2 linked regions of the Pelodiscus sinensis genome follow. The protein of the gene in region 1 purifies or fractionates together with the protein of each later gene. This does not show direct contact. Links are inferred from orthologs where the notes say so. Each region holds a gene or a part of one and is shown on either strand. Other genes may lie near its edges.

Region 1 (9,369 bases):
TGCTTCTCCAGCACATAAGACTGGAGTTAAGAGTTCTTGATTTATTCTTGACTTTGCCACTGCCAAAAGTGACAGAATGAGTCACATTTTGTAACTTCTGTATCTCTCAGTTCTACTCACCCCATCATCTGTAAAATAAGAATAAATTTTCACTATGGTAAAATCTGTAGATTTTGATATTTTAATGCAACTGGAGACCTGATTCACAAGATTAAAGTTACTGAAAGGACACAATGAAGTCAGCAAGAAAATTCACCACTCACAAAAGGTCTGAGATGTGCATCTAAATTTGTTTCTTTGGTTAACAAAAGTCTGGGTGACAGAGCATTTAAAAGACTGATAGTGTCCTTATAGCCTGGTAGTGATTAAGTTCCTCCACTCTACAAAACATTTGTGTTGTCTTAAGGATGTACTATGCAAAATACCATTATGTTGCCTGTATGGTAGGAACTGAAGTGGTTAAAACATCTTTAGATTTTTAGCTTTAGAGCTCATGCATAGAATCTTTTAGGTCACCCATTTTCTAGGGGAAATGGAACACTCTCTCAGCACCGAGATGGTGATTATCCATCAAATTCTGTAAGGACACACCCAATATTGGGTAGGTTTTAGGACATGCTGAAAGAAGAAAAAGCCATCTCCTGCCAGCTTCAGGAGCCTCAGTTCCAAAACCTCGTCTCTCATGAACACTTTTCCAGTTTTAATGAATTTGTTCTGACAATTTTCCTGTTGTCTGACACACATCCCTGCCAGAAGAGATTCATCCATAAACAATCTGGGCCCTTGACTAAGCACAAACTTGAATATAACAAACTGCTTATTTAAACCAATTTACTTAGAATTGATATAAATTTGAATTAGATACTTTCAGGTTGGTTTATTTCAGTTTAGCAATTCTGTAAAAAAAAAAAAACCTACACTGAAATAAGACTTTTAAGCTTTGTCTACATGTTCAAGTTTAATGCATTGCCACAGCAGCATGTTAACACAGTAGTGTAGTCACAGCACCATTATAGGTAAATCACCTCCCCGAGGAGAGTAGCTAATGACACTGGGAACACGGCTCCCAGTGTGAGGATAGTTTACATTGGCACTTTACAGCGCAGTAACTTACTGCACTGGGGGGAAAAGGGAGATTCACACCTCTGAGTGAGAAAGTTACAGGGCAGTAACTTGCCAGAGTAGACAAGTCCTCAAACTAAAACAGAAGTGACTACAGATTAGGGGTGTAAAGAGTGTAGCCATTTAAACTTGGCTTAGCTTATTGGTTACCAAAAACAGTTACACGCAGCTCCCTGTCTGGCTCTAATGATGCCGGCTGCTGCCCTGCACTACTGCCTCTGTACTGGATACAGAAGCAGCAGTGCAGGGTGGCAGTCTGATCCTGGATGCCAGAATCCCCATGCATATCAGCTCCCACATGCCTCCTCGCACTGCTGCCTCTGATACAGTGCAAGGCAGCAGCCAGCTTCCCACGGAGAGGGGGTGTGTGCAGGATCCAGTGCACACCAGAGCAGGCTTCTGGCATCACATCAGCTGCCAGGGAGCTGGCAGCCACCTCACATAAAACCATTTTCAGCAGTTACAGTTAGCCAATTACATACATTTTAACATTCCTACTACAGACTAGCATGAGTTTAAACTAATTTTAAGTTACACCTTTAGTTAAAATCTGTGTAACTTTCAGATAAGCCTCAAGTAAGTACTGCAGCTCAGCTATTTCCCCAGATTTCACAGTACTTCCCATCTTCAAATATCAGCACTACTCTGCACAAAGAACAAAGATTTCCCCTGTGACTGCCAGGCTGCTGTCATAGCAATTCACTGCATTTCTAAGCTACAAACTGGACTCCTTTCCAAGGGGTGTTTGAAGAATATCAGAAATGGTTTTACAATTACTTTGACTTTTAAGAATATTTTTAAGAGACTAGTATGACATTTTAAATTTACAAAAAGCTGAAGTTCAAACATTTCACTTCTCAAAAAGGTTAACTGAACCACTAAAAACTAAAAGCAAACAATAGCCACTGTTTATGTGAGCCACACAAAAACAATGGTTTGGTTCTTGTACCACCTCTGCAATACATATTTCATTAAAAGAATCAGTCCCTACAGCTACAGCAAATACTTTAACAGTGTTGCAGCACAAACCAGTCAGTCAGTCATAGAAACTGTATTTGAGAACATTTGTCCTAAATTCTTACCAACAGAATGCCAGATGAAACAAAAAATTTACTCAATTGTCTCCACATAGTAGTTTTTTCCCCCCTTAAGTGTGTCCTTGCAACTTCTCAAAAACATTTGCTACAACAGCATTTCTTGAATATGGTTCCAAGATATACTTATTTGGGGACAAACTTAAACCATTGTGAAATTCTTGTTATTTAACCTTTTATTCAAATTTTTCTGAGACACTTTCTTATTTTTCAAGATCAAAAATAAAAAAGTTAGCTAATCATTCTTTCAAGCTTTTCAGTACATTCAGTGACTAAGGAGAACAACAAAGAAGCCAACAATATATTCCAAATTTATAAGTATTCAAGTTTGGAGTAAAATTTGAAGAAATTTCTACAATATCAAAGAGCTACTTTTTTTTAATGTCATCAGAGAGTACCTCAAGTCCATACTTTCTAGAAGACAATTTCTCTCACATCTGCGCTGTTAGAAATGAATTTCACATACTGAAGTTTCATCAGAACAGTTTTGCTTGACAACAAGCATCAGTTATTTGTGCAGAATTGTAGGTAAAATCATGTCAAGCAAACATATATATATATATAACACAAATAGCACACATGAACATTAGGGACTTTCAGGACCATTAATAAAAGGTTTAAACCTTTACCCCTTCCTCCAACATAACCATCATCAGTATTAAGAGACAAATGCAGTTTCCAAGCAGAATGAGCCCGTCTGCCCTAAATGTTTATATTTGCTTAAAAATTAAAAGCATAAGTAAAATATAATTTCCTGATAACTGTCTATTGGCTCATCTTAGAGACTTCTGAATACATGATATATTTTAAATCATTGTCAAAGCAACTTTTAAAAGCCACTTTTCACCAACTGTATATGTTAAAGCAGGCAGCCCCTTGCCTTTCACTATGCACTATTGTTATATTGTTGATTAGAATGACCAGCAATAAATAGCTGAGCAAATCTGTGTCTGTACACAGTGATTAAATTATACAAACAATCATTCTAAGCATTTTAGGGTGTGTTAGAGTCCACATTCAAAATGGACATCTGAGAAATACAGTAATGGCTACCATCTCAACTAGCACTGAAGCAGTTTTGATCTGAACCTTAGGATTCATTTTAACAGGTAAAACAAAATTACAGGACATATTCATAGCTCCGTTAACTAATTTGTGAGCAGGCACATCTGCAGTATATACATACACAAAGGTTTTGAAAAACAAACCGAACATGCAGTCTGTGCAATGACCAACCAACAACAACAACAAAAAAGTCACCCACCCCACTTCATATTTCCAACACAAGAGAGAAAGTCGTTCTCAGTCAACTTTATACCCAGGGCTATGCAGCCTGCTTATCAGGACAGGCATTGGTACTGGAAGCACGGGTGGGCGGCAGGGGCTCCAGCCCCCCGACTTGAAGGGGTTTCCATTATACAGATTTACAGTTTGGTTCAATGGCTCGCAGCACCCCCAACTATAAAACCTGCTCCAGCGCCCCTGAGCACAGAGAAGGCAGGGGTAGCAGTGCCACTGTCGCCCCCATCCCAGCCAACCCCAGGAGTTATGGTGAGTACGAACAGGCCAGCGGGGGTGAAGCAGCCCCTGGATACAGAGCAGGACGAGCACAAGCCTCCTCGCTTCCGGGCACAAGCCAGCCCCTGCCAGGGGCCAGGAAGAAACTTCCCCTAGGACTCCCGCCCTCGGCGGGGGGGAGGAGGGCAAAAGGGACTCAGGCTCCTTCCAGGAAGGGACTCGGGGCACCAGCCAAGACCCCCTCCCGGCCCAGCCAGCTTGGGGGCGACCCTGGCGGCGGCGGCGGCAGAAGCAGCAGCCTCCCGCGAGCCAACAGGGTCACCCGCCGAGACCCCGCCCCCTTCACTGCCCGCCCCCCCGGCCGGCGCCAGGCCTTGGGCCCCTGCTTACAGCCACCTTACCCGGGTAGCCGCCGGGTCCGCTCCCGCCTCAGCGCGGCCACAGCCGCCGCCACCGCCAACCACTGCCGCCGTCTCCGCCTCGCGCTCGCGCAATGTCAGCGCTCCCTCGTCACGTGCCGGGGGAGGGACGGGGGAAAGCGCGGTGACGGGCCAGGGAGGAGGCACCTGGGGGGGAGGGGGCTACGGGGAGAGGGAGAAGCTGTGTGGGGAAGGGAGATGGGGGGAGGAGCAGAGCTGAGGCAGCTGCGGGTGGGGGGGAGAGGAGGGAGCACGTCACAGAGGAGCTCTGTGGGAAGGGAGGCCGGAGAGAAGCAGCGTGGGAAGGGGAGATGGGTCTATTTTTATCATATGCTACATAGACGTGAGGGGTTATTTTTTCCATACACAACGTCATGTGGCTATAACAACTTTAGTCACTTCACCCCCATGTGTTTTAAGAATTTGTCAATTTAATCACTAAGCTTTGTGAGCTTGATTACTAAGACTTACTCTCTTATTTATTCTGATACGCATTGTTAAGCATCTTATTTTAGATTTTTTTTCCTCTGTTTCACTGCTAATTTTAACTTTAATGAGAACTGCCACAGGCTACAGAACTCACAAACATCACAATGTAGGTTAAATCCTTATTACTCATAAAAATCTACAGAAGTCAAAGAATTTTAAATTAACCCGACTTAAATAATAATATTATTTGTATGAGCACCCAGAAATGTGCTGGATGTTTCACAAAAGCCTGTGAAGAGCTTGAAGTCTAACTTAGAAAATGATGCAACAGATGTGAGTAAAAAAATCTAATAAAGGGAGAGCAGAAGAGGCATAACTGGAATAATTATAATAAGAAAGTATACAAAGAAAGGACTTGATTCCATTTATGTTGTTCTTTTTATTGTTAATTCCTCTCCCTTAACTTCTGGCAAGGCTGCAAAAGTTCATGGGAAGAATTTGAATTGTGTTGTAAATTTTGGACATAGAAGTTGCCATAGGAGAATAAATATTTGCAAATCTAGCTTAGCTTTCTAAATATATTTATAAAATCTTTTTTACTCTTTAGGAATTTAAGCCCTCACTGAAGTCTACTTCTCTGATCCTTTGTGTTGCTGAACAGTTTTCTTTGTTCTCTTCTCTATTATAGCCATGTATGTTGTCCAGACTTTGCAACTCTGAAAGCAAATGAAATTCATACTCTATCTTTACTGGTTAAACAAATGAATTTAAATTTTACTTAAACACAATTTGAATTTGATTATAGTAGTGATAAGCAACTTAGGCTAGTGAGTGAGCCTCCTTCACTTCAGTGGACTGCAAGATTGTCATAACCAATACAGTCTCCGGGGATAGGATAATTTTGCTAACTGCACTTGAATTTTGCTGGGTGTGCTAGTTGAACTATAGCAGCACTTTGGTTGGATGCCAAGAGAGTGAATGGCTCTCTCAGTAAATGTTGTGTGCGGTCAGCATACACCTTGCTTCACATGCCTTTTATGAGTGTGTCACTTTAGTAATACCAGTAGGGGAAAAAAAACTACACAGACAGAAGCCAGTGGAATTGGACAACCCTGTGTGTGGACAACGGTAAACAAAATGTCTTGTGGGCCATGCATAGAATCAACATGGGCTACGTTCAGCTTCTGGTCTGCAGGTTGTCCACCACTGGATTATAGCTAAATGGGATTCTAACACAACTGGATTCCTGGCTCAGCATGTACTCAGTGAGGCTATATCTAGATGGCAAGCTTCTTTCGGAAAAAGTTTTTCCGGAAGAGATCTTCTGAAAAAACTTCTTCTGAAAGAGAGCATCTGCACTGCCAAAGCTCATCGAAAAAGTGATCTTTTTCGAAAGATAGTGTCCATTCAGTCTGGATGCTATCTCGCATGTAAGCTGTGATTACTATGGGTGGAATGGCCACCAGGGCATCTGTGTTTTTTCCTCTTTCCTCTTCTTGCAAAAGAACTCCCTCTTCCCCGTCCACACATACCTTTATCCAAAAGAGCTCTTTCGGAAAAAGGCTTCTTCCTCATAGAAAGAGGTTTACCAATGTTGGAGAAAACTCTGTTCTTTTGATTTTCTTTCAAAAGAACGCAATTGCAATGTGGATGTAATTGAAGTTTTTTTTTTAAAAAACGGCTGTTTTTCTGAAAAATAACTCCATAGTGTAGACATACCATGAGTCTGGGCATAAGCATGATTTGACTTATGTGTGTGTTGCGGGGGGGCATGAGGGGGAGAAGACAGGCAGCTCTAATCAGACCACCAGGGCCATGTAGGAAGGGACAAATTCTGCTTTTTGCCAAGGTTTGCTATTTGGGCAGGCAACGACCCCTCTGACCTTTCCAAACTATACAATCATGCAGGTTTGTACTGGGGTGGCTAGCCCAAGCAACTGCCAACACCACTATAGCCACACTGCTGTATTTACTGTCCTAACTAGAACAGAGCTAGGGCTTATGGAATACGCTCATTGCTGCTGCATAGATATTCCCCCAGTGTGCATGGGGCCAAAAATATGTTAGAACAATGTACTAGTCTAGATAGCACCATCTAGACCAGTGTTTCTGAAAGTGTTCCATGGAATCATTTTGAGAAACATTAACTGGCCACCCCGATTTGTTTATTTACTGGCACCGCAGCCACGGAGCCTCACGGCTCCCATGGGCTCTGTTTCGCTCTTTGCAGCCAAGCAGAGCAGTGGGAAGATGTGGCCCGACCCACGCTGCTTCCCACAGCTCCTCTTCGCTACAAAGGACGAAATGACGCCAATGGGAGCCATGAGGCTCCATGGCTGCGGTGCTGGTGAATAACAAATGGGGGTGGCCAGTTAATGTGTTTCACAAAGTGATTCCACAGAACACTTTCAGAAACAATGACCTACACCATCCCTGATAGATGTCTGTCTAACCTGCTCTTCGATATCTCCAGAGATGGAGATTCCACAACCTCTCTAGCGTAGCGCAGAGTGTTGCTCACAACACTCCTGTTAAAGCATTCCATAATCATTTTTTCTTTTGGGGGGGGGGACAGTATCACACTGTTGACTCATTTAGCTTGTGGTCCACTATGACCTCTAGATGCCTTTCTACAGTACTCCTTCCTGGACAGTCGCTTCCCATTTTGTATATGAGAAACTGATTGTTCCTTCCTAAGTGAAGTACTTTGCATTTGTCCTTCTTAAACTTTATCCTATTTACCTCAGACTATTTCTCCAGTTTGTCCAGATCATTTTGAATTATGACCCTATCCTCCAAAGTAGTTGCAACACCTCCCTGCTTGGTATCATCTGCAAACTTAATAAGCATACTCTCTATGCCAATCAGTCCCAAAACAGACCCCTGCGGAACCCCACTTGTTATTAATGGTTCACAAACATGCTGGAAGGGCATAACTACTCTCTGAGAACAGTTATCCAGACAGTTATGCATCCACCTTATAGTAGCCCCATCTAAGTTGTATTTGTCTAATTTATTGATTAGAAGATCATGCAAGACAGTATCAAATGCCTTACCACATCCACCGCTTCTCCCTTATCCACAACACTTGTTATCTTATCAAAGAAAACTATCAGATTGGTTTGACATGATTTGTTCTTTACAAATCCATGCTGCCTGTTACCTAGCAACTTATTTTCTTCCAAAAGATGTTTGCAGATGATTTTCTTAATTACTTGCTCCATTATCTTTCCTGGCACAGAAGTTAAACTGACTGGTCTGTAGTTTCCTGGGGAGTTCTTATTTCCCCTTTTATAGATGGGCACTATATTTGCCATTTTCCAATCTTGTGGAATCTCTCCCATCTTCCATGATTTTTCAAAGATGATAGCTAAAGGCTCAGCTACCTCCTCTATCAGCTCCTTGAGTATTCTAGTATGCATTTCATCAGACTTTGGTGACTTGCAGACTAACTTTTCTAAGTAATATTTAACATGTTCTTTTTTTATTTTATCTTCTAAACCTACCCCCTTCCTGCTAGCATTCACTATATTAGGTATTTCTTCATCATCAGACTTCTTGGTGAAGACCGAAACAAAGAAGTCATTAAACAAAGAACTCATCTCTGCCATTTCCAAGTTTCCTGTAATTGTTTCTCCCTCTTCACTGAGCAATGGGCCTACTCTGTCCTTGGTCTTCCTCTTGCTGCTAATATATTTATAGAATGTCTTCTTGTTACCCTTCGTGTTTCTAGCTAGTTTGAGCTCATTTTGTGCCTTTGCCTTTCTAATCTTCCCCTGCATACTCATCCTTTGTAATTTGTCCTCGTTTTCACTTTTAATACGACTTCTTTTTGATTCAGAGATCATGCCAGATCCCCTGATTAAGCTAAGGTGGTCTTTTGTCATACTTTCTACTTTTCCTACACAGCAGAATAGCTTGCTTTTGGGCCCTTAATAACGTCCCTTTGAAAAAGTGCAAACTCTCCTCAGTTCTTTTTCCTCTTAGTCTTGCTTCCCATGGGACCTTACCTACCAGCTCTCTGACTTTACCAAAATCTGCCTTCCTGAAATCCATTGTCTCTATTTTGCTGTTCTCTCTTTTACCATTCCTTAGAATCACAAACTCTATGATTTCATGATCACTTTCACCCAAACTGTCTTCCACTTTCAAATTCTCAACCAGGTCCTCCTTATTTGTTACAATCAAATCTAGATCAACTTCCCCCTCAGTAGCTTTTTCAACCTTCTGAAATAAAAAATTGTCTACAATGCAGTCCAAGAACTTATTGGTTACTCTGTGCCCTGATGTGTTAGTTTCCCAACGTATGTCTGGATAATTGAAGTCCCCCATTACCACTAAACACTGCGTTTTGGATGATTTTGTTAGTTGTTTAGAAAAAGCCTCATTCACCTCTTCTACCTGGGTAGGTGGTCTGTAGTAGACCCCCTAGCATGACATCACCCTTCAAACATTTCACTCCTCAATAAGATTAACTGAACCACTAAAAACTAAAACCAAACAATAGCCACTGTTTATGGGAACCGCACAAAAACAATGGTTTGGTTCTTGTACCACCTCTGCAATACATATTTCATTAAAATAATTAGTTCCTACAGCTGCAATGAATATTTTAATATTGTTGCAGCACAAACAAGTCAGTCATAGAAACTAGATTTGAGAACATTTATCCTAAATTCTTACCAACAGAAGGGCAGATGAAACATAAAATTTACTCAATTGTCTCCACATAATTTTCCCCCCTTAAGAGTGTCCTTGCAGTGCCTCAAAAACATTTGCTACAATAT
Region 2 (9,783 bases), on another chromosome or scaffold:
AACATTAGCAGCTATGTGATCTTTTAGATCACAAAGAAATATATCTCCTGCTTGTCCTTATGAGACATGAATGGGAAGATTAAGCAATCAAAGATATGGGAGACTCAATTACCGTGATGGCTTATTTTAAAGCTTCAGTGACGAGGCTTTGTAGAGAGCATTTTGTACACTGTATTATGGTCAGTTTTCATCCATACTAGAGTCTCAAAATATATAAAACAAATGCATCATCTAATTTTGCCCTTGAACACACAGTCTATTTAACAGTTCTTAAATGATCAGGGCCGTGCAGTGTCAAACAATCAGAATATGGCCCATTGTGTTGAATATACTGTACAGTGATATCTTGTTATGATGGGAAAAGCACTAGAAGAGCAATGCATGGTTATTATTTTTGTGTCATGCCCAACACTGAATAACCGTGAGCACTAATAAGCAACAAATCAATGCCGATTAGAAATGGCTTTTGAACATTTATTTTTGATCTACAGCTGAATGACTAACATAAGTTACACAGAGCTGTTCTTCAGGTCACTTTGTCTACTCTACCAAGTTATGTAACTACCTTACATCATCCTGTCTCTATAAGCGCCTACACTAAAATGTAGCTCCCACCTACCTGACTCACCCATTCCACTGATAAGGCTTGATCTATACACTACTACAGAGCTTGCTAACTGTCTGGGCTAGGGCACTCCTCCTGCCCCACCCCCCAATCACTCCCAGGCTGATAGCCCCAGCTGAGAGGGTGTTGCAAGGTTAAGTTTCACAACAGGGAGTCTCACAGCAGGAACTATGAATGATAATTAGGAATTATCACCCCTAATATCATTACCTCATAGACACTAACCTCCCCCCCACATCCCCTCTCCGTTCTAAAATCTGATTTGTCAATTTTATTTGTTCACTTTTTTTTTTGACTGTATCACTTTGGTATATATGGTCATGTCAATTTTCTTCCACAAATTGATCTGAGGAAGTGGGTCTGGCCCACGAAAGCTCATCATCTAATAAACCATCTTGTTAGTATTTAAAGTGCTGCATAGTCCTGTCTTTTGTTTCACCGGTGAAACTGACATTCTTGTCATTTTCATAGATGCTATTATTTCACCTTCTGTCTCCAGCTGTTGGTTAGAATGGGTTGTTCTGCTTTAAAAAAAAAAAAAAAAACTGTATTTTTACAGTCATCCCCAGAACTGGGAGAATCCATCTGTGAGCCCCACATGGGGCTGAGAGGACCCTAGCTGTGAGCCAGCACCTGCCTGACAGTTGGGAGGGGGGACAGGTGTGAGTCCCATTTGTGGAAGTGCTGCTGCTAAGAATGTGTGCCACTGACAAAAGGGGCAAGTGTGAACAAGAACCACTACTTGTAATTACTATGTTGGCTGTATGCTGAATTAACTTAAATTACAATTTGTAGTGTAGAGAAGCCCTTAAATACCCCATCTTCATGAGAGGCACAGAACTTAAGTTTATATAATTAGGTCAATGAAGTGTCAATGTAGACACTGTGTAGCTTACATCAACTTTTGCTTTCTTTCAGACACTATCCCACAATGTCCTTACACTGGCAATTATTGTTGGTGCAAACATGCCCAGTGAGAATGTGGACCACCAATGCAAAGAGCTGAGCATGGTTATGTAAAAAAAGCTATTCAGTTACTGCATAACACAGTCAACATAATTTAGGTTGACAATTTTGATGTGTAGCCTTGTCCTGAACTCAAGAGTTTGTCTCTCTCAACAGAAGTTGGTTCCATAAAAGCCACCTTGTCTCTCTAACCCTAAGTGATCATTATTAAAATTAAATTTCATTGTATTAGTGCTGTGCCTTGTACATTCTAGTTAACTTCTATGAGGTCCTTGTCACATCAAACCAGACTTGTGGTGGCTTTGTAGTGGGACAAAACCTTGGGGTTTAGCGGTTTCAAAAGCTATGTTAGCCCTCATTTCCTGTGTCAATTCCTATGCTGTTTACACAATCTCAGATTTTAAATCTTCTCAAACTTCAGCTGTTTAATTTGGACTACTGTTATTAGTAATTGGTACTGTGTAATATCTGGTTTGTGTTTTAAAGTTAGCATATAGTTTAACCTAGTAAGAAAGAGGAGGAGTTAATAGGTCTGACTGAAGAAACAAAACAGCTGTAAAGGTATTTCTGAACCCCTGAATTGCCAAATCTTGTTTTAAAATACTTTGATATCCTGAAATGTCCCCTCATCCAGAAGTATGGCTGGCATTCAGTGAGGACGTGCCAACATAAAGATCTTGGAAATTTTCTGTATTGCAAAGACACTCTGAGTCACTATTCTGGTGTACGTTTTCTCTCCCTCGCTCCCACCCACACTCCAAGAAAGAAAAACTAAAGAAAGCCTGATTCCTCAGTGACAGCTCTTCTACCCACCTACTATCATGGACTCCCTCAAAGTACTTAACGTGGGAATTGAAACAGAGGCCCATAATCCTGTTACAGAAAAGATCATCTGTAAATGAGATTCTGGGTATTCCCGCTCCCTAGAGGAGAGGCTGGTAGTGTGAAGCAGGAACAAGAGTCCCTCCCTCCCTCAGGGGCTGGCAGCCTGCTGAGGCTTGCCTCCGAGCGAACATGAAGCCAAACAACCCGAGAACAATGTGCAGCCAGCCACGCACACCCAATTCAGGCTTCTTTCAGCCAAGGCACGCACAGGCGCAAAAGGGCGAGGAGAAAGCAGGAGAGGGAAGGGGCGGAGGGTGAGCCGCAGCTTGCCGATCCGGAGCAGAGATTTACCCAAAGTTTATTTCCAATACAGAGCCAGCTGGGAAGCCGGGCTGCGGAGCGGAACTTCCCTGATGGCTGGGGAAGGGGGTTTTTGTTCAGCTCCACTGCACGGGGCAATACACCCGAGCCAGGGGACAATTCCTTCCCCGCACCAGCTAAGCTGGAAGAGTCCCCGCCAAGCGCCTGGCCTGCACGTGGCGAAGTGGGGCTCGCCCCCCACCACCCCGCGACATTCCAAATCAGCTGGGCTGGTTCGGAAGCAGCAGTTCCGCAGAGAAGGGGGAGCCGCGAGGCTGCGCCGACATACCTGGAGCGGGGCTGGCAAGGCGTCCGGCGGCAGCAGCCCGCGCCGTGTGGAGCTGAGCGCCCCCCTGGCTGGTGGAGGGAGCAGCCCGGGACGCCTGGGGGACAGGAGATGCGGGGTCTCTTTGAGTCAGGCTATTTCCTGTGGGAGGCAAATGGAGAGGGGGGGACCTGATCAGACCTCCAGCAAGGCAGGTGAGCGGGGTCGGAGCGGGCCGAGCCCTTCGGAGCACCTGCCTCTCCGCTCCCCGGCCCAGCCCTCGCTTGTTCCCCAGCGGGCGGGGAGGGAGGTGGAGCTGGGAGCTGCCATGCACGGAAGCGCTGCCTGAGGTCCTGGTTCCGCGCTAAACTCTGTCCACACGCTGGGGGGCCAGCTGGTTCTACATCCCCCCCGCCCGCGCACACCCACAGCCGCCTGAGCAGCTCCGCTCCGCCGACTTACCCCAGCCTCCTCTCCCATTTACTGGCAGCTTCTCGCCCTCTCCAGCCACCCCCACGACTGGCTCTGGCTGGAGAGGGTGGAACAGGAAATACCGGTTCAAAGCCCTGGTACAATAGGTGCGAGGAGGAAAGCTACTAGACTCGGGGTTTAGTCACTAGGTGGGATCTTCTGAGCCATTACATCAGCCCCTGTTTTGACCTGAAACTCACCCTCTCGCCGACCGCTTTGTCTCGTAAGTGAACAAAAAACTGGTGAGCCCCCCCCCCAAAAAAAATCGACATTAAATTCAAAATCACTATTATATTAATTTAGAAAGGAAAAAAAATCAGGAAAAACAGCCCTCTCTTCCCTAATCTTTGACCGCTTGGCTTAACAACGTAATTTGTTGTTAGGAAATGTCTGAGCGAAGAGACCGTGTGATTCACAGAATAGGGCAAGCCTGGGATTCAAGCTGAGCTGAGAGCTAGTCTAGTCTCTGCTACTGTCTTCCTATGTGACCTTTGGCAGGTCACTTCACCTCTACGTTTCCCCTCCCATTCTATTTAGATTGAAATCTCCTTGGGTTGAGGATTGATCTTAACTGGGACCTCTACAAATCACACTAATCTTGAAAAGCACTGCTGATTTGACAGCTGTGGCCTCTGTTTAGTCACAGAACAAGTATTGAAACAGTCTAGGTAAGACCATTTGACAGCTAACCAGTCTTCTGACAGTGGCCAAATCCAAGTGTTACAGAATGAATGAACAGAAAAGACACTCGTGAAGTGAAATATTACTAGCTTCTGACAAAGAGAGGCTAGGGACACTTAGAGCATGGAGTTGCATCCATGCCCATCCTGGCTAATTGCCATTCAGGGATCTATAATCCTCCAGGAATGTCTAGTTCTTTTTTGACCTGTTATGATTTTTACTTTCACAAAGAGAGTTCCACAAGTTGACTGTGCCTTTATGTGAAGAAGTACTTCCTAGTGTTTGTTTTATACCTGTTGCCTATTAATATCATTGGGTGAGTCCTGGTTCTTGTAACATGAAGGACTAAATAGCACTTCTTTATTCACTTTCTCCTTACCATTCATGATCTGAATAGATCTCTATCCTATTCCCTCTTAGTTTTTTTTCTTTTCCATGCTGAAAAGCCCATCTTTTTAATCTTTCCTCATATGGATGTTGTTCCATACCCCTTTTTGTTGCTCTTCTCTATACCTTTTCCAATTCTGTCTATCTTTTTGAGATGGAGAGACCAGAATTACAAGATGTGGGCATATCATGGATTTATTTAGAGGATTGCATATGGATTGCTCTCTCTCTCTCTCTTTCCTAATTGTTCTTAACATTATTCTGTTTTCCTGGTGGGTTTGAGAAATCTTTGGATTATCTGGTTGGTGATATCACACCTCACAGCTGAAACTTCTGATAGCAACTCAAGTTGCAGGCTAAAAAATGTAATTGAACCCTCCAGTTCTTCCAGACACGATTCTGAAACCTAAACTTCCCTAATCAGCCTATGCTTCGAGATGTACTTCCAGATATTTCAGCTTTCCAGTCTTTGCTGAAGTCATTGATCTGAAAAGAGAGTGCCAAGTCCTGACCGTCTTAATGTGAAAAATGAGGGTTTATTTAAGAAGTAATATTTACACATCATAAAGGAGCAACAAAAATCGCCTTTTGTTGGCTAGTTTGCTTCATAGTATCCCTCTAAGCAAATTTCTCCCAAATCAAACAGTTTACTCCCCACAACAGCTTTATAACAGTGTATTGTAGCTGTTGGACTTTACCCTGTACAGGCTTCTGACAATTTGCAGGGCAGTTGCCAAGTGTGGGCAGGATCATTTTACAGCAGTGGCTCAAGTTTAGAAATTCTCAGAATGCCCAGGAGCATGGGTTCACAGAATTGCTTTTTGATTGACTATGGCATAATATGCCATGCATTGAACAGAAGGAATAAGAGACCATGCTTTTAATTAAATCTTTGACTTGAAAACTAAACACAGCAGAAAGAGCCTGCTTCTATTAAGATATATTCCCCCATTACAATATTTTTAAAGGCCCTGCTTCCAAGTGTTGTTAATCATTAACAGAAATGTAAGTGACATTATTGAACTATCTACTCCCCAAAAGCCCCCAAACAAATAAGGGTTAATATACATAATTGATGTTCAGGGTTAATTAAGTAATTATTTTTCCTTCAGCTACTGCAGGAGATAATCAACTGCAGTTCTAAAGCAAAATGAGACCAGACGTGGAGATTGGAGTCTCTGAATGTCCTTGCTTTTCTGAGTTTGTCTGACCATTTGCATTATTTGTTTCACGTGTTTTTTGGTGTCAATTCCTTTTTCCTTAATAAAAGTAAACTCCATATATAGTCCATATATTGCAGATAGAAAATTATGTTTATCTTCCATAGGAGTCTCATAAGGATTAGCTAATGTTTTTAAGTGTTTTGAAGATGAAGAGCGGTATGCAAGGATACATGTTATTCTTAAAATTGTATATAGAATAAGACAAACATAACAGAAAATATTAATTAGTAGCAGGAACAGTGTAAAAATCAGTGAATTAACATGTACAAAATCATCCATTGTACCATATTGATTTCTTAGTGCTACACAATTACCCAAATACAAATTGATAAAATAATTCAGCAACTTGGAGAGGTTAGCTGCCTTGCTCTGAGGAGCTTGTTGTAAACATTTGTTTTCTTTCTCTAGATATTAGCTGATTCTATCTTCCAGACAAAACCCTGGAAAGGGTGCAAATAAATAAAGTCCTTTCCTGGTCTTACTACGGTTCAAAAAAACCCCTCAATAGCAGCATACAAGTCACTCCTATTCTTTATGAAGCATTCACAGGATAGATCACAACAGCTCCAAACAGCTGTGTGCAGCCAATTTAAAATGTCTTGTCCTCACTTGCAAAGACCACATAGAGCACCTTCCATCTGCAACTGATCTTTTCTTTCATGTCCCCTTTTGCCTCACCCACTTCCAAGTGCCTTTGACTTTTTTCACACAACTTTCTCTGTTCTTCCCATGCTGACTCATATTTTGAATGCTCTTCCAAAAACTGCTTTAACCATCTACATTATTCCCAAGAACTCATTTCTGCAACACACGCCTACAAACTATTTTCAGACCCACAAAACTGAGCTATTAACCCAAACATATGCCTAAACTGAACTAACAATCCAATTTTCTCTCTTTATTCCATGGCATTAGTCTCTCTGCCCTACTCCTGCTTATTAGAGCAAGGTCAAATTTTTCAGCTTAATTATTTTTAAACAATCAGATTTAACAAAAAAATTGTAAATGTATGTAAAATTTGCTTTATTGTTTTGAAAAAGCACACCCCTCCATGTATTGCCTTTTGTCCCATCAAACACAAAGGAAAAAATTCTGAAGCTATTTAAGTTCACCATTTTCTGATTGAAATGTTTAGATTTGGAAAAACTTTGCCTTTTTTTTACTTCAGTGTTCTTTTTAAAAGGTTTAAAAAATCCTTTGAAACTAAATGTTTCGTTCACTCAAAATAAGTAAAAAAATGCAAGGTTATTTCAAATCTAAACATTTCAATCAGAGAACTGTGAACTTAAATAGCTTTTTTTTTTTTTAACAACCAAAACCTGAAATTTTTGATGAGGGTAAACTTAAAATTGATCTTTTAAATGTTTTTGGTTCAGCCAGTAAGTAAAAAACCAAAAGTTATTTGCACAGCCCTACTGTGTGTCTCTTCACTTGTCAGTCTTCTCAGTTATTTAGACTATAAACTCTTCAGGGCAGGATTTTCTCATTTTGTGAAACAACTTGTGGAGCTAAATTGGGACTTTTCTTTACCTTCTATTTTCATCCTTTTTTAATTCAGTGCATTTGTCTGAGAGTATAATGCCACAAGACAAGTGAAGTGAGGAAGCAAAAAGAGGTGCTTTAGCACCTATGCTCTTGTAATGATACTCATCAACTGAGTCAATGTATTGCAGCCTTAGTGCAGAGGGACAAATGAAGGTGCATCAGTCTCTCTGGCACACACTTTTACATTCATGTCAGGGCAGCACACAAAACTCCCAGCTTGGGATCAGGGCCCTCACTGTACAAAACATGTAAGACAACAGAACCTCTGTCCAAAGATCTTCCAATATGATGCATCAAGACACAATTTGCTTTTTGCTTTCTGAATTATGTTGTACCTTGAGATTAAACCCTGGTTCTTATAGCTGTCTACCACTCCCCCAATTTACTGAAAGCCTTTATTTACTAAAATACCTACCCACTGGAGTATAGTCAGCACAGGTGATGGAGAGCCCTGAAAATCGGCAGGCATCTGCATTCGCGGATGTGGAGGCGGATATTGGCAGCTCATTTGGGCAGATGTGGGTGTGGACATGGATATAAGTTTTGTATCTATGCAGGGTTCTAGTGATCAGGCATGTAACAAAAGAAGGAAAACACTGAATTCTAGGCATAGGTAGGATTTTAAAGGAATTCTGAAAAGTGTTCTCCATTAACCTAACTGAGCCAATAGTAAAACTTCCATTGATATCAGAGAGACCAAGTGTTAAGCCAACACTAAGCTCTTGTAAAGAATCCACCTTCCATATCCAAATTTGGAACATAATCAATTAGCTCATATCAATTAAGTGCCATTATGTTATGTAAACACTTTCAATTGAGATAGCCATTTTATTTAGACAGTTTTCTCTATTGCATGTTTGGGTTATTTTGCTTTTTACCTTCTACTTCTTGAGTCTTCTCAATTATTAGCTGTGCCTAGGAAGTGGCCATTAGCAGAACCTGCTCTTAGATTAGCACTAGAATAGGGTTGCTCATATTCTAACATATATATGTAAGATTTTCTACGACTGTAGTCCTGCACTGGAAATCCTCTTTACCCAAGAGTCTTCTGTTGGACCGCTGTAGTTGTAGCATCCGTGTAGAGCGCAGCTGGTCTGTCCAAACTGCTCCTATGTAAGCTTCACAGCCCAAACTCCAGTCTGAGCTGTACCTCATAACAGAGTTTACACAGCTATTTGTACAGTGCCAGAACACGCCCAACTAGCTCAAGTCTCACCCAACTTGAAAAGGCTCCTGTGTGAACATACCACTAATGTCAGATACATGCTGACTAAATCTAGTTTTGTGAAGGGGTGAAATTTAAACAGCTTCATCTCAAATTCCTATTTGCTGTAAATGAGGTGTTCATGCCCCACCTCTTTTAACTGTTCTGGTTTCTCTCTGCTTTGTGTAGTGCTGTGTTTTGCTCTCTCTGACTCATACTGGTAGCCCTAACTGTATTTCCTTGATTTCAGAAGTTATTTAGCAAGAACGTGACTGACTCCCTTTTGCTGAAAAATACACATACATAGCACAGATAATCTAACGCAGAACTGGCTTCCATGAGATGTTAGTTCATATTTTAATTAATAGCAGGCAAGAGTTGGTATCAAGAATTTCATTTTAATTCCAAATAATGGGCAATGCCACCTAAGAATACTGTATATTTATTACATATTGTTCAACGACACATCACAAAAGTAACAGTATTAGCCAAACAGGCAGTCGTGTCATTTTAAACACAAGGAAGTTGTCAGGGGAACTCAGAAGCCAAGAAAACATTGCATTTCAAAATCTGTATCAGGTCTCTTTTAATATAATGCTAAAAGCTTACATACATGTGGCTTGGTCTTGCAAATATGACAGAAAATTTGGGCTCCTTTTTTACATACAATTTTTGAAAAGGAATAACTATTGTTACAATAAAGCAACTTTTATAGTGTCAAAGGTTTGAATGTCACTTATTAAATGATTTCTTTATAAATTATTTGGGGGTGATATCTCGAGTAAATCACCTATTTTTGTCTTTTTTTTACATTTCTCAGCTAGTCCGAAGGCTCCAGTTTCTCAGACCTAAGAAGGCAGGAATAACACAACAGGGTTTCAGTGCATGCCTTGTGTTATCTCTTTGCCTTTGGCCTTGTGCCTCACTTCAACAACATGAGACGTGCATCATGAGCTATGCCAAGCTTGGCTTGGCTTGGCTTATTTCTATTGGAATAGAACACCCTCACTTGACATAAATATATCATTAATATTATTAAGCAATGTATGGTTACTTTATGAAGATACTCATAGCAAAAGGAAATAGAGAAAAGGTAAAAAAAATCCTTTTTTCTACAACTATGAATGTATCATTTTTAAACAAAAACATTATACTCTTTTTTACTACTTGGACCCCTGCTGAAAGCAGATTTGGTAGCTGGAAGTTTAGTTTAAAAGAATAAGCCTGAAAA

The links.
Region 2: the proteins of ARHGAP12 (region 1) and TJP2 purify together in Homo sapiens (co-immunoprecipitation; 3 studies listed by BioGRID and IntAct, with this or other methods). This does not show direct contact. The link is inferred for Pelodiscus sinensis from reciprocal best matches to the Homo sapiens genes ARHGAP12 and TJP2.

What each region holds. Positions count from the first base shown.
Region 1 is NC_134712.1:229,554,808-229,564,176, forward strand, and holds the start of ARHGAP12 (rho GTPase-activating protein 12), read right to left. Parts: upstream 4,357-9,369; 5' UTR 4,136-4,356; intron 1-4,135. UniProt on the Homo sapiens protein: GTPase activator for the Rho-type GTPases by converting them to an inactive GDP-bound state.
Region 2 is NC_134716.1:32,193,326-32,203,108, reverse strand, and holds the start of TJP2 (tight junction protein 2), read right to left. Parts: upstream 3,736-9,783; 5' UTR 3,713-3,735; exon of another isoform or gene 3,504-3,712; intron 3,456-3,503; exon of another isoform or gene 3,299-3,455; intron 3,204-3,298; 5' UTR 3,066-3,203; intron 1-3,065. UniProt on the Homo sapiens protein: Plays a role in tight junctions and adherens junctions. Acts as a positive regulator of RANKL-induced osteoclast differentiation, potentially via mediating downstream transcriptional activity.